Linked DNA regions of Drosophila melanogaster. Changing the gene in region 3 together with the main gene of any one other region gives a genetic interaction. Each region holds a gene or a part of one and is shown on either strand. Other genes may lie near its edges.

Region 1 (5,251 bases), on a different chromosome or scaffold from region 3:
CAAACCTAACTAACCGATTGTACTTAAAGAAAGCGATTAAGGCTTCCATTATCAGCGTATAAAGAGAGAGATAACGGCCTTCCTAGACATGTCTTATCTGTCGCCCAAGTCTGGTCCCTCAATCCTTTTCCACTATCAGCGGTGCCAAAGTCAAAGAACTCCCATATCTATGCCAGATATATAATCTTAGATGCGGGGAACTGTTGCCGTTTCCCAAGAACACGCATTGATTGACGGTCTTTCCCATGCATGCCTAATGATCCTTCAAATGGGCCCTAATAACGACCAGCCCCCCTTGGGATCGGATCAGGTAACGCCCCGTCCCGGGGGTTACCCAAAAAGCGACACGCTCCCAAGACCCATCAGGCAGTTGACCAGTGGGTTACGTGTGCCATCGTGCACAGCAAAACTAGTGTATAAAGTTTATATTATCTAAGGTAGCGATATTTTCTAAAACGTAAAGAAACAATTACGTTGCAAACAATTCTCTCAGTGCAGGGCAACCCCAGCAACAATTATTCAACTTAAAGTCGGTGCAGCGGGGAAAACATGGAATCATTTCGGTTTCAGTTAGAAGTGTGCGCGAGCGTTCTCGAAAGGGGCGCTGGGGGGCGGGGCAGTCGGTGGGAGGTTGAGCGAATAAGAGAGTCGAGCATACGAGGCACGCTTTTCCGATCAAACCAGTTTGTCGTAATAGCTGGCATTTGGAATTAGTTACTGCCGATATATTGCTGCACTTGGAATGCGCCCAGATAGAAATTCCCGCACCACGCCCCTCGGCGACGATCCTCCCCTTTGAATAGAGAGTTGACTATTTTTAGCGGGCACCAGAACTTCATTAAAATACAATCAATTTGCAAGTGCAGCGCGGAGAAAATAACAAACAAGCACCAGCCACCCACTCTCTCTTTCTCCTCTCTCTCCCCCCCCCCCTCTCTCACACTCTTCCATACTCCGGTGTTCCCAAAGAGAGCGGAGAGATGGCATTTATGCTGAGCAGGCACAAGCAGAGAGGTGAAGATGGGACTGAAGAAGAAGCAGCCGCTGTGTCGGCAGAATGAAAACGAGGACGACCAAACTGCATTGTTGTCATATTTCGTAATACGCTGATGCAGCAGAGAAGCGAAGGGGTGGTGGGCGCAGAGGTGGAGCAGCAGGTCACGGCGGTGAGAGAGAGCGAGAGCGCAGGAGACTTGTTTTCAACACCAGCTTATCAGCGGGAGAGCGCGAGAAGAAAGAGCATAAGGGCAGAGCGCCAACGCAGCGGCGAAATGGAAATGTCAAGTTGGGACTGCGCTCTCCCTCGCTCTCGCTGCCAGCAGCGGCTGCGCTGTTCTCTTAACCATTTGGAGCCCCATTCAAATGTTCGATTCTTGCCATTCCATTTCGTCCGCTCATCCGTCCACATCCACTTGCGTTTTTGGTGCCCTGCGAGCGGGAGAGCAATGTGAAACGGGAGCACTACAAATACCGCCCACTACCACTACCAATTCCCATACTCCCATATTCCATGCTATTCCCAGCTCAGTTCGTGCCGTGTGATCAAAGCTTTCGGTAAGGCTTCGGCTCGGCTTTGTGTATCCACCTTAGCGGCTCTCTGTGGTGCTCGTTCTGCCTCTCTCTCTCTCTCGGTTTTGGGGCTCAGCTCAGGGACAACAAATGCGGTAAAATGGCTTCTGCGTCGACGTCGACATCCCTGCCGTTTCAGTTCTGATTGGAGGTTCGTGCGCGGCGTTTCCTCAGCTGATTTCTTTGCCTTTTGCCTTTTCGCAACCCGCTTTCGGCTCCGTGTTCGCCTCGGTTGCCAATTACGTGTAACCAACAACAAGAGAAGAAACAGAAACAACAACAAGTACTTTCGAGTGTTGCAAGCCTTCTTCCGCCGAAGAAACCGCAAAACGGATTACCAAGAATATTTGTAAAATTGGTAAGTGGTGAGATTATCCACGAAATAGTCTTCGAAAAAGGTCAAATCATCAAGTGTTCAAATTTAAACGACAAGTTTAAGTATTCTTATTACCTTCTTAAGACTTATCTTGAATCTCAGATGAGGATTTTATTGATTAAGATTCAAAAGTTCTTTAACTGGCTTTTGTTTCTGGAGTCCGTAGTGATTTTTTTAAAGATTTGAATGTTCACTGAATTATATTTTTGGATTAGAATCTAATCACTTTAAACAGGACATCGCAGGAGTCGAAAACAATTGATGACAAAATCAGCAGTTAATAGCTTTTGGATTACAGAATTATAGCAATAAAAGCCTGACAAATTGGCCAAGGGTCGTTTTGGAAATCTAGCAGTCTTAAAAGCCTAGCAGATACATTTTCTTCTAACAATTTCCCGCTCACACGCTCAGTACATGCACCAACACACGCCTATTGGAAAGACGCTTTTGTATCCAACTTATACAGATAGTGGTACAGCCACAGATACAAATGCACACATGCCGTATACGGCACATGGGGAGTAATGCCGCCACACTAGATACCAGATACTAGATACATAGATTCGTCCGCCGCTTATTTGTCGGTCGTGCTTCAGTGATCTCTGTCATTTGCAGTTGCCCATTTCCTTTTTTATCCCCCACTTCCACATCCAGTCGTCATTCGCCCGGCGCACCCCTTTTGATCACTCTTCCAGTTCCAGTGCCTTCTGGTGGCTTCCAGTGGCTGCAACACTTGCGGTGTTTTTCTGAATGAACCAATGGAGTGAATGTGTGAATGAGTAATCCATGTACGCAACATGTTTGCACTGCACAAATTATTTGGACTCAATGTATTGATTGTGTAACTCGGCTTTACGTTTATTTAATCGCAATAACTAAAGTGAGCTACAACTCTATACGTTGGTTACTATTCTTGGGAGGAAGGAAACCTGACAACCCTGGCCAAGGGGCAACTCTACACTTGCACCTGTGCTCCACGCTAAGCCACAAATTCAATTATGCAAATCAAGATCACAGCCCAAAAAACACAATCTTCGTCTCCGATCTGCATTTGTCTTTGTATGTTATGTTTATTTGTTACTTCTGTCGTTGTTTTTAATTCGCTAACCCACTTCACACAGTGGCAGCAACAACAAAAATCGTGAATTATACTTTGTATTGGGGCGAAAAGGAAACGAATGCCCAGTCTCAGATCACACATAAATTTTGCGGTTGTTTTGTTAATGAAACGACAAGAGCAGCACTATGCGCTCTTTACTATATATTTCCCGCTCTCCGCGAAAGCTTTTCTGTTTGTTTGCCCCACACACACAAAGACACTTGTGAACACCTTGCGCTCACTTAACATTATGCTCGAATTATAACTGTTGTTTAGCCGGCGATCGAAACGGTTAAAGCAGCAATGAAAGAGGGAAAAGAGAAAGAGGATGACATGACTAACAACGCAAACGCGATCTGAACATATGCATTGTTGTTTTCGCTCGTAGAAACCCATAAAAAGTCGAAACAGTAAAAGTCCAAGCGGCGTATACGCAATATCAGCGGGGGATAGGAAAAGGCAGAACTCTCTTATCTATTCTTCTCTCACTCTCCCTTAAGTACACAGGGCAAGAAATGTTAAAACATTTTTAACAAATAATGATTGAAATAATACAGGAAATTTTTCCGGTGCATTGGTTTAGTGCACGTGACTCTTTCACAAATTCTACTTAAATGTATCTGCCATCTTGCGCCGATTTCCTGCCCCTTTTTCGTATTCAACAATTATTCGGAACCAAATTTGCACAATACATTCCTTGATTATTGTTATTTAAAATGATTTTATATTTATTTATTTCATTCGCAAGTGCCAGCTGCCATGCTAAATAAATGTCTGTTGTGCGCGGTTTCCCCGTGTATATTCATGTGGTATACCTTTTCATCCACACGATACTCCTTTTCATATTCTGGGGCTTGTGGCATTACAAGTAAATGAAATTTTTCTTGAATGCATTTCTGATTTGAATCACCTTCGCGGAGAACGCCAGGTATTTCGCTTTCGGGGTTCTGCTGCCCCGATTGCCCATCCTGATAGCATACAAGTCGCGCGTGTACCCCATATATCTCCTTTTTTAATTAGCAATCTGCACAAAAACTCCGACTACTGCAAAAACCTAAATTCAAAAGTGGAACACAAACAAAAAACGCTCAAAAGTCAGCAAAAAAATGAGGAATCAACGAAAAATACAAGAAACAGAAAAGGTCAGTGACCAAAATATGTTTTGTAACTCAGGCAGAAATCTTCGCGAAAAGAGAATGGGCCGAAAAAAGCTAAGCAAAAGACGGAAACCAGAAGGCAGCAGTGGTAACCCTCCAGATATAGTTACAGTTGCCCAAAGATCATAAATTTTTACTTACATGGATATCAAAGATTCATAATAAATTTAAAGAACAATTACCAAATAAAACCTAATGTTATTTCTTAAGGATTTCTAGTAATTTCCGGACCCCAAACACGTAGTTAGGCTTATTTCACAATTTCCGCCTGCTGGCTGAAATTAAATATTTTTTTTACCGTTTTAAGCCTTTTGCAGGCCTTACAAGCATACATACGCATGCACTATAATTCAATTAACGACGTCGACGCCGCTGCCGGCGCAGCTCAATGTCCGCGTCAAGTATACGCCCTGTGGTGCCTGAAAAACTGAAGAACTCAAAAATCACTCACCCACACAATCGGCGGTGGATGTGTTCATCTGCCAGCCGTTTCCTATTTTGCATTCTTCAACGAATGGCAGCCACAAAAGCGAATTTCAAAAAGGAGAGCGGATGGCCAGGCATTTGACTTAAGGCTGCGAACTTATAGTACGCCGCTGTGTTTGTGCGGGAAAAGGCAACATCAGCGAAAAGAAATAAACACACAGAGGTAGACAGCACACTACGAAATGCAAATGAAATGTAATTGAAAGCAGCGCTGCCAACGCCTCTGCTACCCTTAAGCTTTGCCAGGGGACGGTGTCCGTTCCGTTTGTCCGTGTGTGGGACAACCGGAGGTTGGGGATACAAGGCGGGCACAGTGGAGCTGTGTTCAAATTCCACATTGCCCTTTTTGTTTTCATAATTGGACTTACAATCAATCTTGAAGGTTGTAGCTCAAAACAAATATACATTCCTGACAGTCCTTACAGAAATTCCGTTGAAATTCCATGTTGAGCTCAAAACGATAATATGACATATAAGCGTCCAAGAAGTACTGAGATTTATCATAACTATTATGCCAAATCCTCAAAAATCCTTTTTACCCAAAATCATCGCATATGCCCCACT
Region 2 (5,437 bases), on a different chromosome or scaffold from region 3:
ATTCTCGAACAGCATTCTCGCACTGTTTTGGGGGTGGTGCTGAGCCTGGTGGTGCTGAATCTGGAGGTGGGTGCTGCTGCCGCCGGGGGGGTTGATGGTGTTGTTGTTGGTGCTTATGTTGAGAGCGGAGTTTCCAAAGCAGTAAATTTTGCTGGTTTTTCGCTTATCCCAAAGACACACGCTGAGAAAATCACTTTAGGTCGCACCAAATACTTTGTTTTTCTTGAGATTTTTTTCTTTTTGCACTTTTCTGTTGACTTTTTGCAACTATTTTGTTAAATATTATGTATTTTATAACCGCACTGAATTATTTTTGTTTTTCTTAGGTAATACTCATTTTAATACCACCAATATTAGATGGCAAGGTTTCAGATTTTCTAGAAAAAAAATTAAGTATTATTAAACTATTGTTATAACATGTTTTATGGATTTTTTCTAAGAATGCATTATGTTATTTTATTAGTAAAAGTATATAGTCATGCAACTTTTTAATGTTTACATTAAATGTATTTGTCAATATTTGTGTTTTCATTGATATTTGTATCTGAAGCGCTTTTCCATTTCCCATAACATTGATTTGCATTATTGTTTATTAATTTTAACAATTTTTTTTGGCTTTCTGGGTTTTCTTTGGCATTTCTTTGTTTTGGCTTTACGCTTTTACTTTCGCTGTTTGGCATTCGCTTTTGCCTTTTGCTTCTCGCCTTTCAATGCTGAATTCTGAATTCTCTTTTGCCATTGCCGGCTTTTTCGACACATACACACACGCCACTGCACACACACACACACTAACACTCAAGAACTCACACACGTGCGTGCCGCTCTCAAAATGGTGATAAAATATTGTTGTTTTTGCCGTTGCGGTTTGATAATATTTCACACACGGCTTTTAATTAAAAACATTTGAGTCTTGGATCGCTTGCATAGTTTTTGTATAGTTCGCTGCCGGTTTTCGTATTAATTTTTCATAAATTTAATCGATTTGCTTGAACAAAAACACATGCACACGCATACAGAAACATAAATTCATGGCATAAAAACAAATTTCTGCGACGTCATTGAATTCGCCGCAAAAGAATATGCGAATATGTGAAAGAGAAATAAAAAACCAAAGAAGCGTCCCTCGACAAAAGAAACAAAAATGTCTTCGAGTTGAGTCACTTACACGCACACACACCAGTACGTTATACACACACTCACACACACTCGCTGGTGCAAATAAACGACGCGTGACGAAAATTACACGGGAAATATTCGCAAAAATCCACGAAATTCGACAATCCTTCCGCTTCGGGCAAGGAATTTTTTTTAACTAACGGTGAAGGAGCGGCTGCGAACTGTTTAAGGCGAGCTCAGCGAATTTCGCCGTGCTGCGCTGAAGCTCTGCCGCTCTCCCTCTCCGCTCGCTCTCCACGCTCTCTCTCTGGATTTTGGGACTCTCTCTGCAGGACGTGAATACTGAGCAGAAAAAGGAGCAACAAAAAAAGCTTGGATGCAACATGCGGCTGAGTCAGTTAATGACGTACCAACCTTTTTTTTTCTCCCCCCTTTTGTGTGTCTTTTATCGCGCCTCTACCGTCATCAAGCTGGTACTCCCCCCATAATCATTTCCGATATGCAGTTCCATGCAGTTTCCCCAGACAATAGGCCTACAATATAGCCATATAGTCGCATATAGCCAGCACACTGAGTCGCCGAACGAGCGTCTTTATAGCCCGCTTTGTTCTCCCCCCAATTTAAAGTGAGCTCTGGAATAGTGGAACACCCTCAACGATAACTCCATTATCTATCCTTCAAACATGGAAATGTTGAAGGTTTTTTAAGCAACTTTGCAGATTTTCATAAAATACGTATTCTTATAAACGTCGAAAAATATGATAAAAAAAAAACAATTAAGAGCTTACTTTGTAGCATGTATGCAACTAAATTCAGTATTTCCAAGTAATTGTTATTTATAGGCTCTAACTTACTGTCATTAAAGTGTAAAGAACAGAAACTATTTTATTTATATTTCGAAAAAAAAACCATGACTTATTTTTGAGCTGTCGTTTTAAACAATTTGCACTTTACTTTATTGGGAAAATCCTAAAATATATTTGTGGGTTACAAAATTGGAGCACTGACTGTACTTGACTTTCTGTGTTTATCTTATATTGTTTGCTCAGCTCGTATTTCTTTTAAAGCTCAGCTCGCAGCTGACGCATTTTGTTGATTTTGAATGCTTAAAACTGAGAAACAAAGAGTAATTGTTTAATTCAGTTGAAGGGAAGGATTGCCAGCTATTTCGCTTTGATTTATGTGAAATTTACAAATCAAATTTATTTCGGTTGGAAAGTGTTCAGTTATCGTATCTGTTGTTTAAGCTTAATTAATTTAATTGTCACATATTCCATGGGATTTTGAACTGTACACGGGCTTATGCGTGTTTATTTCTTTTAAATAACGACAATTTGTTAAATTGTAGTAAAATATTTCATTATCGTTAGTTCCCTAGAGCCATTTCTGATTTTCTTCAAATCTTAGGTCTCCTTTCAGTTCTTATCGTACACAACTCGTTGAGAAATACACAAAACTGAAACGCAAAATTGTTGTTGTTGATAAAACTGAGCTAGTCACCGACAACAACCACAGTAAACATTAACCACAGCTTGTAGTTTGATAATGGATTTTTCTGTTTTAAAAATTGATGGTTTTCTCCAGTGCACAAATGTTCACCAATCTCGAATCGAAATTTGATATAAATTTAATCCATTTGAATTGAATTTTGTATCAATTTATTAGTAAAGCACTTATTTAATTACACATGTTTTATTTAGTCAAATTACTGGGCTTTTTATCTCGAGCTGAGAGTTCATTGTTTTATATTATTTATACACACATATCTTGAACTCGTCTTTTGTATGGATTATCGGTCTCTTAGTCATAGCGAATTAAATTGCTTTATGTTTTGGCATTCATTAGTTAAACATATCATTAGTTAATAAACCATGAAAGTTGATTTTAGATTTAATGATAAATTTTGTTTATAATCTTAATAGCCATGAAATACATATTTTATTTAGCCGCTCAAGTCATTGATTTGAATAAAGCTTGATGGGTTGTGCATGCATGTGTAGAGAGATTTCGAATCGTATTTTTAATTAATTTGCATGCACTGGCATCCGTTTTATGGATGCGGTTTGTTCATTTAGCTTAACAATTTAACACGTAATTTAATTCAGTCATGCAACATGTCAGAAACAGATTTTCTTATTATTGTATTTTCTAGGGGCGACAAATAGGAATTACTTTAAATGCGCGGCAAACAAAATTCAAGCTTTGTTTGTTTGTTTATTTTCCATTAGCCCACTTCGGTTTCGATTTCGATTTTCGGCCCAGTCCAGAATCAAGTTAAGACCTGGCTTTATCTGCATGCACAAACGGAAATCAACGACAAAACGACGACGACACGATGAAAACGAATCCACGAATCGCTCCGCTTCGAATCAACTGGCTGTTGTAACGGTCGCAGGCAAACTGAGTCCGAAAGATACAGATACAAGTACAAGCGGCCCCCGCGGAAAAGTTCTCTCACCGCCTCTCGCTTTTTATACCTCTTCCTCTCTTTGTCGATCTATCTCTCTCGGTTGTTTGTCGTTTGCGGCAAGCATAATAAAATAAAACAAGTGGTCGAGTTTTCCAACTTGCAGATACCCGGTTTTTAGATACAATAAGTTTTAGATACACTAAGCTTAACTTCCCAATGATAAATATAATTTAAAAAATTACTTTAGGAATTTTATTTAAAAAATAGATATAATATAAAATATATTTTAAAATAATACTCTGCAAACGCAATATACTCTGGGAATTTCTGAAGTACAGGGTAATCCAAAAGGAGAGCGGAATCGTTCTCTCTCTTGCGATGCGATGGCAACAACCACCCACAACATAAGCGGTTCACTCGCCCCCACCACACCACCAGCGAAGGAACAAAAACAAGCAAACTCTCTCTCCCATAAACTGAGAGCGCGTTGTTGTTTGCGGCGAAGTCGCTCAAAAAACGCCATTTGGGGAGACAGCAACAACTTTTGGGACTCATACTGTTGTCCCGTTCGCACTCGAGCGCTCTCTAACTTCCGGTCCCGTATGCTGCGACGTAGTGTTGTTGCTGTGGCTTTTTCAGTGGGGAAATGAAAATGAGCATCATTTGGTATTTACTTGGTATTTTTCGGTACTTTAAAATTGTTGCTTAAGTGCAATAAAAAATTTAATTTAATTAATTTGAAGGAAATGCTTGTAATATTGTAATTTTTATTTAACACACACTTTATTATTATTTTACCTTTACCATTTTTATATGATTGTTAAACAACGACTTAATCCCAGTTTATAGCTTATTTTATAGCGTTTTTGTCGCCTGTTGCACCCACCGCAATTACCAAATGTCGGCACGCCCCCGCAAAATTCAAAATTTACACAAATTTTTTGCAAAATCGCAGACGGGCGCTCCCAAATCAGAAGAAAAAAATCTAAAACAATAATTTCAGCGGCTTATTAGACGGCCTAAAAACATCAAAGGCCTACCCATTCCTAAGCAAGATTTCATGAAATTTGCTCCTTTTTTTATTTTCTTTATAATTCACAACAAAACGCGCAACAAGCGCAACGAGTTTTCTGCAATCGAGCAGCTGACGGCGAAAAAGAGTTTTTTTCTGTAATATATTTTCCCTTATTTTGTTTGGTCCATTTTTTCATGTTGGTTCCTTTTTTGTCGGGACACAAGAAACTTGTTTGCAGAGCTTCGGGCGATAAAGAAGGAGAAATATATAACAATAGCAACAGCAACAACAGTGACTGAGGCAGACAGGTCAAAGGAGCAGTTTTTGCCCCTGCCACGCCTCCATTTCGTCTACATCTTAACCGCCCACCGCCTGCCACGCCCCCGCCGAAGCAGCAATAAATTCTGCCAGAAAGCGTCTTCGATTAGTTCGGAAATGGCGAGAGAAGTGACTGAAACGAATAAAAAGAAAATGTTCTTAGAAAAAGTCGTCATACGTCTTCTGGACTAAGAGATACCTCTTAATTCATTATAAAAGATTTTAGAATAAGTTATTGGAATTTAGAATTAAAAACAATTATACAACAATTATAACAACTGAAATATTTTAATACCATACATTTTAGATTATTGACAGTTACCACACTTTTTAATAGATGTAGATTGCCCAAAGACCCCAAGATCCATTCAGGAATACAGGACAACAGGACAAAATAAGCCATTGATCTATATCAATGGCAATATCTAGTCTGCAACTGATGTTCCCAGAGTTTATTACCGCTCAAAGGTAGAAATTTATAGCAAACTGCGCATTCAGCAAATTTGGGTCATAAAAGTAATTAGTGAAATCTGTTCCAGTACAGATTGGTATTTGTGGGTGGATTTTAATTACCGGCC
Region 3 (8,131 bases):
CTCGTTGCACATAGATCCTGTGCTGTTGGGACTGCAACAAAAGAAAACGCAGAGTCAGCCGCAATCGCCTAGTAAGGGGCCACCATCGCCAACGCCTCTCCCACCAGTTCGGCAGGACATGGCTCCACCACCACCTCCTAAAATGTCAAAGAAGAAGCAACGTCAAGCCCTGGATCAGCAAACACAAAATCAACAACGGCAGCAGCAACAGCAACAGCAACGTCTGCAGCAGCAACATCAAAACCAACAGCAACGCTTGCAGCAGCAGCAAAAGCAACAGCAGCAAAGTCTACAACAGCAACACCAGCAACAACGTGTGCAACAGCAACGTATGCAACAACAGCAGCAGCATCAGCAGCAAGACAACAACCAATATCAGCAGAATCTACGACGTCCACAGATCGACCAGATGCCCTACAATAATCTCCAGCAACGATCACGATCCGATCTTCAGCTGCGCCATACTCTCAATCCGGAGTGTGACCGTCTGTTGAGTGAAATGGATCACAATCAACCTGGCAGCATCAACAAGGACGCCAACAAACCGTCCATGTTCTGGTCACGCGAATCGCTAAAGTACCTCGATGATCTTTTCAAGATGACCTCCAACACAGAGACCGTAGAGCGGCTGAAACGAGTGCTACAGCGATCGCAGCGTGGTCTGCTGTCGCACAACGATTACCGAGCGGTCATTCGACTGCATTCCCTGATGTGCAACTGAGGATTAGCCAGGGTCATGGAATTTATTTCCTGGTGGGTCACCTTCATTTTGTTTAACAAATGCCAACAGATTTCACAATGGGTATCTTAAAGATATTACCCAAAAACCGAATAAATACATAACTGACTATTTTGAAAAAAAAACTCGATTTTATGATTTTATTAGGAATGAAGAGGCTCCAAATAACTGTGTAAATGTGTTTAGGATTTGAGTTGAATTTGTTATTTAATTTTTAAGTGTAAGTGTAGAAATAGTAACAAAATAATGACATCAAAGAACCGAATTTCAAATAAAAAACGGGACTCATTTTCTACTTCGTTTGCAATAAGTTACTATTTATTTATTTCAAACTCAAGAATGTCACACTACAAATTATAAAATTAATGTTATACAGTTTCGTTGTCGGCATTTTATACTTTTTCCTTGGCTTTCATGTTACATGGTCAGTTGTCTTAGAGTAGAGTTGTCCTTGGTTCTATGCAGCGGTAGTCTGTTGCTGCTCCTGGGTGGTCGTGGACTGCGCCGAAGAGATCTCCCCAGACTTTTCGTTGACTCCCAGCCAGGGACAGCGCTTCTGCAGCTCCAAGCGGTATCTGGGGTGACTTATGGCATAGACGAATGGGTCTATGCACGCCACCAGTTTGCAGGTGCAGGCCGGGATCATCGTGGCTCCTGGTGTAAGCAGACTCTTATCCCCGAATGCCCCGATCAGCGACATTACGCCGTAGGGCGTCCACGACACGAAGAACAGGAAGCAGATGGTGATAGCCGCCTTCGCAATCCGTATCTCCGCCGTCTCCTTGCTCTTGTCCACATTGGAGCGCAGCGACTCCACGTTCATTTTCTTGGCCTGCTCCCGTAGGGCCTTTTCGTGGCTGAAGACATGGCCCACGATCTGCGAGTAGTAGTAAAGGATCATCAGCGTGGGACACACGAAGCTGAAAAAGAAGATGGTGCCCACAAACAACCGGGTGTCAAAGTTGTCCGAAAGATAGTCGAAGGAGCAGGACGTGAGGTAGCCCTCTGGAAATGCATAAAAGTGAAGAAGATTAATGGGATTTTTGGTATTAGGATATTTATTTACTTCATATTCGTAAAACGCAATTTTACTCTTTCGTAAATTTGTTTCTTCGAATTTCCCGATCCAAACTAAGTTCTTAAACATTCCCGCCAATGATGTGACACAAGGTCAAGGTATCACCAATCAATATTTTTATTTAATTTTTTGTATTGCCTATATTATTTGATTGGAAATACTATAAATCATAAAAAAGTATTTATTAATGAATTATTTTAAAAATTAGGCTTTAGTTGTCAATAAGAGTAACAGACTACATTATTAACTTTGATCCTTTAAAAATTATGCGCCTGATTCGATTTGTATTATTTCAAAACTGATGTTTTCCTGTTATTAAATTAATTTGACAAACGTGGCAAGGCTGTTAAGTAATCGATGACAGCAATTGATAGCTACCAGGAGGCACTGCGATGTTGCCGATTGCGTGTAATCGACTATCTGGAATCGAATAGACGACAATTGGGGTTCCATCTCTGCAACCGACGCGGACATTAGAAGAAACTCAGTATAGTAAAGTAAATTAATTAATTAACCAGCTAAAGGCAGACATCACGCCCAAAGTACATGGAGAATGCCGAAAAAGACTGAATTCCACACCGCGCAAGGGCAAGTGCAATAAACGCCGACTGCGACGATCAAAGAACGCAATATAGAAAAAGTGAGACACACGAAAAAAACCCATTTCGCTGCCTGTGTGTAAATGCAAATGGTTTATTTTTGTGCAGCAACAACAACAACACAACATCAGCAGCAGCAGCAACACAGAGGCAGAAAAGGCGAAAATAACTAGTAAAGCTAAATATGAATAAATGTGTATGTGTGCGGGTCGCGTTAAAGAAAATTAGATAAAAAGCCAAATGAAATTAGCTCACGCCTGAATTTCGAGTTTCGGTTCGGTGCAAGGTGAACGAAAAGGCGAAAAGCAATCAAAACAGTTTTTCCATTTTCCCAGTGTGCGTGTGCAGTAGCAAAACCACCTGCATTGGTTATATATATATATGCGGTTAAAAAAATAACAAATTGCAACGTAAAAAACGGAACTTGCACCTAGGATATATACACACACATGCTGGCTGTATGCGTGTGTGTGTGTGCATGGCCGTAAAGGCTGACTGACTGATAAAAAAGGAAACAAAAAAATAACAAGAAAATAAAATATACACATACACACACACACCAACGCAGCGGGGCACCAATACCTCGGCACAATTTCTTGGAGGCAGCCTGCCATGTAAGTTTACATATCAACGATTATGTATTTCGCAGTTGTTGTTGCTGTTTAAACAGCAGCCTAGTCGCACTTAATGGCGGCATAAATTAAAGAAAGATAGTCGCATTTCGCTTTGCTCCGCAACTTACGTTTTCTATTTTACCATTTTGCAACTCATGAAAGCAGAAGCTAAGTTAATTATATTCATGGCTATGACTTTTGTGGCAATTACCATTTTTACCCCGTATGAACGTTTCCAACGGTACGCAACGTAAACGAACTGTTAATTATGTGTGTGCGATCTGTGTCTGTGTTGTAAGTGTGTGAGTTTCCCTCCCCGCGGCTGCCATCCCCTACCGCCACCCACCCCCTACACATCCTCGTTGCATTTGTTACGTTACGCACTCTTCATTACGATATTACGTTTATGCGGGCGATGGTACGAATTTCATAATGGCAAATGTTCAAATAATTTTTCCAATATATAGGGTAAAGTATTAAACATTTGTATGTTCATGCGTTTCATGTGTTTTTGTTTTGGGTTAATAAGGAAACATATTATTTATTTTTTAGGTTTGAGTTTGTTTTCGAATATAAACAATATTACTGAACTCCTTTCACACAAAATTTTGATAGCAATCATATAGCAAATATATTCCCGTTAGGAAAGAGAACAAGTTTTGTTTGTACATCAAAGCTAAACAATTACGAAAACTTTATATTATTATATTGATATTTATCTTATAAACGCACCAAAGCACCCACAGCATATTGTTCACACTAATGTGTGCCCATTCTGTCCAAAGTGGACAAACCCGTGAAACCGAACCACACCCATTACAACCAGCACGACACCCACCATCGCACAATCCCGCCATGGGTCGACGTCCCTAATGGCCGTCCATCAGCGTCGGCTCCGTCAGCTCCGCCTGATAAGAGCCAACATATTTGCGCCGTTCCACACGTGCCGCCAAGAGGCTTTTGGGCTTGGGCTCGGAGTTGGAATCGGAATCGGGCCTTCATTTCGATCGGAGACGTGACGGCGACCTCGGGCTGTGTCTTTGCTTTTCGCAGACCAACTCCGGTTCGATACGTTCCGCTTTAAGTAATTGCTTAAATGCAATTCCCATACACGCAAATGCGTGTGTTTTCTTTTTTCGGTAATTACAACAATTGGGAATCCACGGCAAGGTTAAGGCCAGGAATGATAAATCGCTTTGGCTTTTCTATTGGGCGGCACGAAAAACGAACTACCTAGTAGTAGTGATTACGCGAAATAAGTTTTAAATTAATAAGGCTCAAATTAAATTATTACAAATGGATAGTAGTTTTGCTGGGCAACATTTTTTATAGCAATCGAGTAGATTTTGCTTACACAGTTTGCATTCATTTCATTTCTATTACTTCATGGAAAAATATTTTTGCCTATTACTCATGTCCCAGTGGGCACAATAGTTTGGAATGAACATTCAAATCAATAGTATGCTCCGAACTTAAGCCGCAAAATCGATAGAAAGCTCATAACATATGTTCAAATTTAAACCAGCATTTATGCAGTGTGTTATACTGTGATTTTTTTTGTTGGTTGATATATGTTATTTTTGGATTAACTAAGCCTAATCGAAACAAACTATTTTTGTTAAGATATCTGTATGGTTTTGTAGGTTATTGTTTTTTGGAGTTTCTTATCACTGAACGAACAAAATTACAAAAAAAAGAAAAAAAAATTATACATATGCTATGACTAAATTGACCGCATTACTCACTGACCTGTGATTGTATCTCATTTTAGACAGAAGCACAAGAAAGCCATTGCCGAAGCCACCGGGAGGGCGAAGAACCTGAACCTGGCGAGAATTGCAGGGACCCAGAAGAATTGTAGACACATTCGTGCCGTTGCGAGAACCCTTCCAATGTCCAATAAAATCAACCCGAAGCGCCGCGAACCGACAGCAGCAGCAGCAGGAGCCGGTGCCACGGGAGTGGCCACCAACACGAGCACCTCGACCGGATCCTCCAGTGCCGGCAACACGTCCTCGGCCAACACATCCTCGTCGTCCAGCTCCTCGCTGTCGTCCGCCGGTGGCGGTGATGCGGGCATGTCCGCCGACTTGACCTCGCTGTTTGAATGCCCCGTGTGCTTTGACTATGTGCTACCGCCGATCCTGCAGTGCTCCAGCGGGCACCTGGTGTGCGTGTCCTGTCGCTCCAAGCTCACCTGCTGCCCCACCTGCCGCGGTCCGCTGGCGAATATCCGCAACCTGGCGATGGAGAAGGTTGCCTCGAACGTCAAGTTCCCGTGCAAGCACTCCGGCTACGGATGCACCGCCTCGCTGGTTTACACGGAAAAGACAGAACACGAGGAGACGTGCGAGTGCCGGCCCTACCTGTGTCCGTGCCCGGGCGCCAGCTGTAAGTGGCAGGGCCCGCTTGACCTAGTCATGCAGCATCTGATGATGTCGCACAAGAGCATCACAACGCTGCAGGGCGAGGACATCGTGTTCCTGGCCACCGACATCAACCTGCCCGGCGCCGTCGATTGGGTAATGATGCAGTCCTGCTTCGGCCACCATTTTATGCTCGTGCTGGAGAAGCAGGAGAAGTACGACGGACACCAGCAGTTCTTTGCCATCGTTCAGCTGATCGGGTCGCGCAAGGAAGCGGAGAACTTTGTCTATCGCCTGGAGTTGAACGGAAACCGACGCCGGCTCACCTGGGAGGCAATGCCGCGTTCGATCCACGAGGGCGTCGCTTCCGCAATTCACAACTCGGACTGCCTGGTGTTCGACACGTCGATTGCGCAATTGTTCGCCGACAATGGCAACCTGGGCATTAACGTGACCATATCTCTGGTCTAAACGCACTGTCAATTCGTCGGGTTCTTTCATTTCTTGTGTTTACTATTCCGATACAAATACATATATAGTTTATAGCCCTCTGTTCGCATCAGGCGTCTAACTCGTGGACAGATTGTGAGTCTGGAGATTAAGAAGAAAGAGTTTTGCAGAGTTGTTTTATAAAAATGATTCTCTATTCTAAGAGCCACTTACATGCATATGTATATATATCTATGGAAATATCAGGCTGCTTCGATTATCACATTCGGCACGATATCGCAGTTTTCTTTGATTTTTAAGCTAAGACACTCACAATTTTCCAAAGCGAAATGGAAAGCGTATTAAAGCAATTGCTAAGTGATGTTCAGTGTTTATTGCACACGTTCGTTAAACCTGTAAAACCGCGTTTAAAATTCGTATTTTCATTTTTAGTTTGCACATGACTGTGTGTAAATCTCACTCGTTTGCAGAAAAATGCCAAATATTTTTGGTGAGATTTCGCAGATTTGTATAACACACTTTCCTGTCGAATGCGAAAATCGTGGCTGACCTGTATGTTTGTATGTTTAATCGGTTCGATTGGTACTCTAGTTCTAGGACATGATTTTTCAGTTACCGCACACACAATACTATATATTTCAAAGTTTCAGTGTTACCCGTTTTGTTAGTTCATGGGGTTCTGCTTTAGTTTAATTTAGTTCGTAAGGTCCACACACCTGGAGCAGAGCTGCCTGCGCGTGCCCACGTGCCCACCACCTACTACAGTGAACGCTAGGAACACACAGACCCACTCACCAAAACGAGGAGAACAGCAAGAAAGGCGAGGAGGTCACTCATCCACTCGAACATGTACTGCAAAGTCTAGTTTAGTTAATGTAAATTATTTTATACAATACTTGTAAATGGTAATAAGTAAAACGAACAGTTTAACGAAATTAACAAACCTAATAACCCACAAAGAAAAGTAATATTTGATAGCGATAATCTGTAATAACTCGAGAGTTGTTTGAAAGTTGCAGCCTAAACGAAACTGCGACCCGCAATTTTGTTCATGCCAAACCATCACAAAATAACAAAAACACACTAAAAAAAAAAGAAAACATTTTTTTTCGCAATGCTAAAAAGACAGTTGCCCCTTCCCATTTCCCCCCAAGTCCCCCCAAACATATAAAGCAATGTTAATGTTTAAATTTCTATCTAGTTAAGACGATCTCCCCGGTTTGGCTCATGTTTTGGTTTTGATTTCCATTCGGCCAACGTTTCCCAATCGAAAACGGAAGAAAAATTAATGATTTTAAGCATCTGCACCGTAATTAGCTTTTAATGCGCCGATTTACCGCGCCACTACCATATGAGATCACTCACACAGACACAAAACTACAAAACTGAAATAAACATGATTAGTAAAAGTAAACAATGCTCGTTAATTATTGAAATTAATCTGGGGGAAGCTGAATTACAAAGAAGAGCTACGCCACTTTATAAACTTGTCGATTTAAATCAGTTATCTGTTTAATTTGGATTATCTTTGAGATACTTGGGTTACTTCTAATGCGTTTTAAAACGTTGCAATAATAGATGGCACAAGTTTTTAGTGGTGCACCGCCGAAGCATCTTAAAGATTTAGCTGGATTGGTATCTTACTAGGATACTTAGGCCAATTTCAAAAATAAATTTTTAAGCTGATTTTAAAATGATTTAAAGCAAGTAGGCTCCGAAGTAAAAGTAGCTCATTATACTTTTAGCTTCGTTGTATTGTGGTACAGATTGTATTTTCGAATTCTTTTAAGCAAAATTTCAGTGTTCAGAAAAAGTAAAAAAAAAGTAAAACCATCGGCACTCTCATTCTTCAGAATCGTTTGGTTGTTAGGTCTTAGGATTAATAGCTTGCGCATTGATTGTTGGCTGAAGCACAGATGTCTGTTCGCAACTCACGCCCCCAGTTATCGTGGCCGGAGCGGGTAAGTCCGCAAAGGACTATTGACACTCCAACGGCATCCGGAGAAATGTTGACTCGTCGTCAATCGGCACCAGCGTTGGTCGTGCCGCCGGAGGAGACCACGCACGTTGTGGTGGTCAAGCGGCAATCCCCGGACGCAGCCGCTGCCGGAGAACTGGTGCCGTCTAGGCGGAAGGACTCGGTGGCTGTGCAGTCGGGAATTGTGGCCACTGGGCCATTGGACACAACACGCAGTGGTGCAAGAGACGATTTTCTAATGGCTTTGCTCGAGTGCCCGGTGTGCTTTGGCTACATAATGCCGCCAATTATGCAGTGCCCGCGTGGC
Region 4 (5,669 bases), on a different chromosome or scaffold from region 3:
ATAAACATTTTTATGCGAGAGCTTCGTTCGAAGCGAGTGCGAGCGAGAGGGAGAGACGTGAAAAATCAAGTTCGTTGGCCCGGACCACAAATGGCGCTGTCTCCTTCTGCCCCACCCCCCGACCAGTCGCTCCATCCCTGTTGCACTCGCACGCACACAGCTGAGCGGCTCCCCTCCCTCTCTCTTACACTCCGACTCTTCTTCACTTATCACAGCTGCCCCACACACACACACTCCAAACGGGGAGAGAGAATGAGGTGTAAGGTAAACCGGCAAAAAAAAAGAATATATATATAAAAAGAATAATGAAGATGAGCTGCGAAAGAGTAGCGCGACTCAGTGGAGAAGTAAGAGGAGGAGCAGCAGGAGGAGGAAGAATGAAGGAGAGTGAGAAGACTGAGCTTCAGTGTATGCGTGTGTTTGTAACGGCACCACAAAATCAGAGTGGAGCACAACAAAAATAGCCGTCGCGAAAAACACCGTGTTTCTTTGCCCCATCTCACTTACTCATTTTGGGAATTGTACCTGTTGAGCAAAAATAAATTACAAGAAATTGTTACATTTCTTTTTTCGTTGGGAGTCGGAGCGGTTATGACTCATATCAGACGAACAAATGAAGTAAAAACAAACACGCACACTTGTGCACAGCAAGAAAATTCGATAATATTATCAATATTAGACCAGGTGCACTACCAATACAAACTTCTATTTAATTCTTATTCGAATAATTAATATTGTGAACTTTAAGAATTGGTTCAGTAAGACTAAATGCCATATGCATTGGTTCTAAAGCCCATTTCGTTCAGTGTACGGTTCAAGTGAGCTCCGATCGGCGTTTAAGCCGTTCTCTCTCGCTCTTTAACTCTCTTTTTTGGCAAATGAGGCCATCTAGAGAAAAAAGGCTTTTGAAGAATTGACCACAAAAAGGGGGCGTGAGTGATTTTAAGAGTTTACTACAATGTATACTTTTATTTCCGGTTTGCCGCTTGCCATTTCGTTTTCATTTAGGCAGGCATTAAAATGTTATAATGGATAGAAAACTACGAAAAACGAGGAAAACTCAATGGCCATGACGCCGACGCAGGCAGCGCTGCTTTTGTCGAGACAGTCAGCAGACCCCCGCCCCACACATTCAAACACAAATACACACCACGCTCACACATACGCATAGATATGAACAAATTCCGCATTCGCTGCTCATTTTGTATGTAAATTATGCTTAATTATAATTTATAACTAATTATTTGGGGGCCCCCTTTTGGCTGACGGTGTTTTGCAACACTAAGCCCCGCTAGCACTCACACACTTGCGCTCTCTTTGGCTCTGCCCCATTGCGCGAGCGGGACCGAATGAGGCCTCAGCTGTCGCGGGCAAAGGGAATGCGCCAGGGCCAGAGCGAGATGGCATGCAATGGCCATAGCCAAGTGATGGCGAGACTTTGTATTTGCGAGCGTTTTAATGTGTGTGTGTGTGGGGTATGACTATGATAACCGGCTTCAAACGTAAAAAAAGATCCCAATTTGCCAAGTAACATTTCCACAACTTCGAGATATTACTAATGCTTTTGAGGAAGGCTGGGATGACTTTGAAAAAATATCGGGTTGTCAGGGCCTTGAACATTGGGGTGTAAAAAAGCATTTACTGGACAAGGACAAACGACGCGCAGGCACTTTAAAAATAATTATCGAAGCACGCACGCTAGAACCACTCTACCTAAATACATATATAAATATATATGCTTGGGGGCAGCACTATTTCTGAATTATCAGCGCAAAAAGTAGGGTTAGGTTAATTTTATACGCTTCTTGCTTTTGCTCTGTTTTATTTTTTGCTGGATCTTTCTGCGGCGCTGGCAGTGTGTGCGTTTATGTGTGACTGTTGCGAGGCTGAGAGTGTGTGCGAGTGCCGTGTACAGCGTGTATTGGGTAACAGCGCCCGTAGAGCTGCGAAAACTCCGCCGTATAGTTGCATTAATGTAAATGCATCCAGGTGCCCGGCACACACGCACACAAACAATGCACATTTGCATTGCACTTTCACGCACACGCATCGCACACACACTTATCCCACACTCTCGCAAAAGTAACGGAAGCGATGACTGCACTACACGTTGCCTTGCCCACCACACACACACATCCTTATACCTTTTTCACCACCCTCAAAATTTCTAATCTGCTCCTAATTACTAACTTATTAATTAAATGGTAACTCCACAGCTCATTTTCTCCCTTCCCTCTTGCACGCTTCTTTCCCCCCGCTTCTTCTTTCTTCTCCTCGGTTACTACCTACGTTTCACATTTCTTGCATAAAATTTTTCTCCCGTTGAAAACTGATGTCTGTTCGCTTTTTTTTTAGACTATCATTTTGGTGTATCGCAAAGGGTTCTGTTCTTTCTTTTTTTAGTCCGTTTCGCAAAGTTTTTTGAGATATTCCTTTTTTCACATACCTTATTGATTCTTTTTAACGCCATTTTCTGATTGAAATTTGATTTTCTGGGTTGTGTGTGTGTTTGGTTGGTTGTGTGTGTGTTTGGTTGGTTGTGTGCTGGTGTTGGTGTCTCGCGTATTTCTTTTGTTCTTCGCACAGAATTGGGTTTTATTCAATATATAATCCTCCTGCTTAGAATTGAACGAAAAACGAAACACAAAGCTGCGTTGCGCCTCTAGAACTTTGATGCTTAAATATGGCTCTTTCGGTTGAGTGTCCCTTGTCACGAAATAAAGCAGCACCAGCGCACTGCAAGTAAAAACGGCGACCCGACGAAGACTACGGCGACGATTATTTTTTCACAATCAATGCGGGGCCTTTCGACCGTTTGTGCGATAGAGACGACCGTTAGTGAGCTGAGAACGCAACGAAGCACAATCGTTACACCGAAGTGTAAGCCCGAGCGAGAGGAATGGTGTGTCTGTGTCGTGTGGTAGTGTTGTGAAGCGGAAGTCCAGCAGAGCAGTCCAGCTATATGACCTTTTCGCTAGGGGTGGCCAGATCGATTGGGTGGCAACGCCTTTTAGGTGAGGGATGAATCAGTTAATTACAATTTGATTGCCAATGCAAGACTCTTCATACTCACTTTAGTTCGGGAACAGCCAGAAGAAATAGTTTTACCGGCAGCGAGGAGGTGTTATATTTTATTCGAACTACCTTCTTATCGATGGTGCGTGCGCCCAAAAGCTTGCAACTTGTATGTAAATTTGTTAACACCCAACGTGTTGCAGGCTGCCGGAATGTTTTTACTGAGCAATTTTGAGATGTTGGTAATCCGAGTTCTTGAAAACTTTCCGACTAGCTACTGAGTTCTACAACTGAATTGACAGGGCGTTATTTTAAAATTTAAATTCACTCCAGAGCGCTGGTCTGGCAAGGCCGACGTGCCAATTCAGGATACTTGTCGATATTTTCCGTTGTGCTATCGATAGTTTTTGGGAATAACAGGCGTTAGTAGATTTTTAGTATTTAGATTTTATTATCATAAGGATGAAAATATTTTTAACAAAATAAACTGGTTCATTTAATTTAACTTTTTATTTTCTCACTACTCCAAATGGCGCTTCCGCTGTCTGAAACTGCCGTTATAATAGTATGAACAGTTAAAACAATCGACGGTAGCTGAATTTAATCAATGCAGCCCTCTTACCCTATACATCGATAGTATCGCATAAACATCGATTTTGGTTCCAGCTCTAACTTTAACTGTCTGCAAAATATTTCAAACAAAAGTGTTTGTTAATTAAGTAATATACTTAATATTAGTGGCTGTTTTGCTTCGACATTGATCGAATTGCGGTTGTGCAAGTGTTTTGTTTGATTTGTTGGCGTGTTTTTCCTAGTTTGGCGGCCCTTTGAACTCGTTCGTGTATCGCCATCTCTCTCCCACCCCCGCAATCGGCTTCGTGCGTATTTTTTTGTGAATTTTTACACAGAACTCACACTTTTGTATGGCCCAAGAATTTGTACAATATTTTTGCACTTGAAAAACAAGAAATAATGAAGAAAGCCAAGATAAACGCGACGATGTGCAAGTGCTAATCATTCAGTTTTGGCAAGCGCTGAACTTCGCTGACTTCTTGAACAGCAAAAAAGATGGAGGAGGATAATGCCAAGGTCCTAAGTAATAACAACAAGAACAACAGAAACAACAATAAGGGACGCCAGCAGCTGCAGGGACACGCCCACAGCTCCGCCACCGCCCACGCCTCCGTCGATATATTTATATTCGATTTATAGTAGCTGTAGTTGTAGTCATGCCAACAACAAAAACGCAAACACAGACAACAACAACTTGCAGCGAAGAGGAAGAAGCGGCGATAATACGAGAAAATTGCGATACGCCAATGGCGACCCCAGCAAATGCAACAACAGCAAACACAACAACTGCAGCACCCATAACAACAACAACAACAACAGTAAATACGCGCAGACAAGAAGAAGCAGCAGCAGTAGCTTCCACACCTAGTGTTACGAAAACGGCAACAACAACAAACATACTAGCCGCTGCAGCGGGATGCCACAAGCCGTTATTCTTCAGCCGCCGCTTTCAGGACAAACGGAACTTTAGCTCGCTACCGCTCTTCGTCTACGCGACCTCGCCATCAACGCACGCCCACTCAGCGGACGGAGTAGGCGTGGCCAAGGAGGCAGCCGCGTTTTGCCACAAGGTGAGTTTGTTGCACAAAGAACCAGATAAACTTGTAATATTAGGAGAACAAGGAACTTCTATAATTGCCAATCAAATATAATATATCCCCTTTAAGTTATGTATTATAAAATGTAGTATTTTATTTAAACTTTGATAATGCCATTTGTATGTATTTAGATTTAACCCCAAAACAGGAAAAGAAAACCAAAAATAAAGAATTCTGGTTGGAACAGAGAGTTTCCAGTTCGAGGGATTCGTTTGGCATGTCACAGAATTGTAATTGTAATAAAACCCCCATGGGTTTTAATACTCATTTTCTACCTTCCACTCTGCCATCTCTTTTTTTCGAGCAATCGCACCGCTCTTTCCGCTCTAAACTTGCGTAATGGATCACTTCCGCTGCACTTGCAACTTGGGTCGTGTCATATCTGAATATATAATTCCCGCCCAATTCATAGTTTAAACAGTAAGCTCCGCCTAAGAAGAACGCGCTAATAACTCCGTGGTTATACTTAAATGAGTTCTTGATCCAGATTATAAATTTAGATACCTAATATTCAAATAGATATAGCTTTAGAAAAGTTGTAAGTTTAGCATGGTTGGTTGTTTCGTTTGTAGCCACTAACTACTGTATTATATTTATAAACGTTCTGCTTGGCTGCCGCAGTCCGCCTATCTGTTCCTCTCGGAAATCGGTGCATGCAGAATCAGATCTCCATTGGAAATGCGTTTTTAATGTTAATCACGAGCGGCTTTAAAAAAATTGTTTACACTGCGTTTTTTTTGGGCTGTTTGTTTTTTTTTTTATATATTTTTATATCAGTACCTTTTTTCGAGTTTCTGCAGCACGGTGATCGCTCAAACGTGTCAGACATTAATGAGCCAACCGCCAACCGCCAAAGCCGAGCATAACTGTGCTTTGTCTCATTTTGATGGGGCTAGGAGTGGTGGACGGAGGGAGGGATGGGGATGGGCGGTATGGGCAGGTGGTTACAGGTGCAGCCATTGACTGGCGCAGCGCTCTCCTTTT

What was found.
Region 1: of sina (region 3) and ttk, changing one suppresses a phenotype caused by changing the other (phenotypic suppression), as found in Drosophila melanogaster (3 studies listed by BioGRID).
Region 2: of sina (region 3) and msi, changing one enhances a phenotype caused by changing the other (phenotypic enhancement), as found in Drosophila melanogaster (3 studies listed by BioGRID).
Region 4: of sina (region 3) and eff, a change in one rescues a mutant of the other (synthetic rescue), as found in Drosophila melanogaster (2 studies listed by BioGRID, with this or other methods).

Annotation. Positions count from the first base shown.
Region 1 is NT_033777.3:31,712,343-31,717,593, forward strand, and holds the start of ttk (tramtrack), read left to right. Parts: upstream 1-1,524; 5' UTR 1,525-1,927; intron 1,928-5,251. UniProt on the Drosophila melanogaster protein: Binds to a number of sites in the transcriptional regulatory region of ftz. Isoform beta is required to repress inappropriate segmentation gene transcription and repress genes incompatible with development of photoreceptor cell fates.
Region 2 is NT_033777.3:25,514,201-25,519,637, reverse strand, and holds the start of msi (musashi), read right to left. Parts: upstream 3,521-5,437; 5' UTR 3,289-3,520; intron 1,316-3,288; exon of another isoform or gene 1,166-1,315; intron 378-1,165; 5' UTR 16-377; coding exon 1-15.
Region 3 is NT_037436.4:16,851,496-16,859,626, forward strand, and holds sina (seven in absentia), read left to right. Parts: upstream 1-2,255; 5' UTR 2,256-3,030; intron 3,031-4,423; exon of another isoform or gene 4,424-4,489; intron 4,490-4,801; 5' UTR 4,802-4,922; coding exon 4,923-5,867; 3' UTR 5,868-7,217; downstream 7,218-8,131. Other genes in the region: Zcchc7 (zinc finger CCHC-type containing 7), read left to right, coding at 1-721; Rh4 (rhodopsin 4), read right to left, coding at 1,197-1,744; sinah (sina homologue), read left to right, coding at 7,763-8,131. UniProt on the Drosophila melanogaster protein: E3 ubiquitin-protein ligase that is required for specification of R7 photoreceptor cell fate in the eye by mediating the ubiquitination and subsequent proteasomal degradation of Tramtrack (ttk).
Region 4 is NT_033777.3:14,737,934-14,743,602, forward strand, and holds the start of eff (effete), read right to left. Parts: upstream 3,387-5,669; 5' UTR 3,074-3,386; intron 3,008-3,073; 5' UTR 2,471-3,007; coding exon 2,447-2,470; intron 1-2,446. Other genes in the region: jvl (javelin-like), read left to right, coding at 4,245-4,658. UniProt on the Drosophila melanogaster protein: Catalyzes the covalent attachment of ubiquitin to other proteins. Mediates the selective degradation of short-lived and abnormal proteins.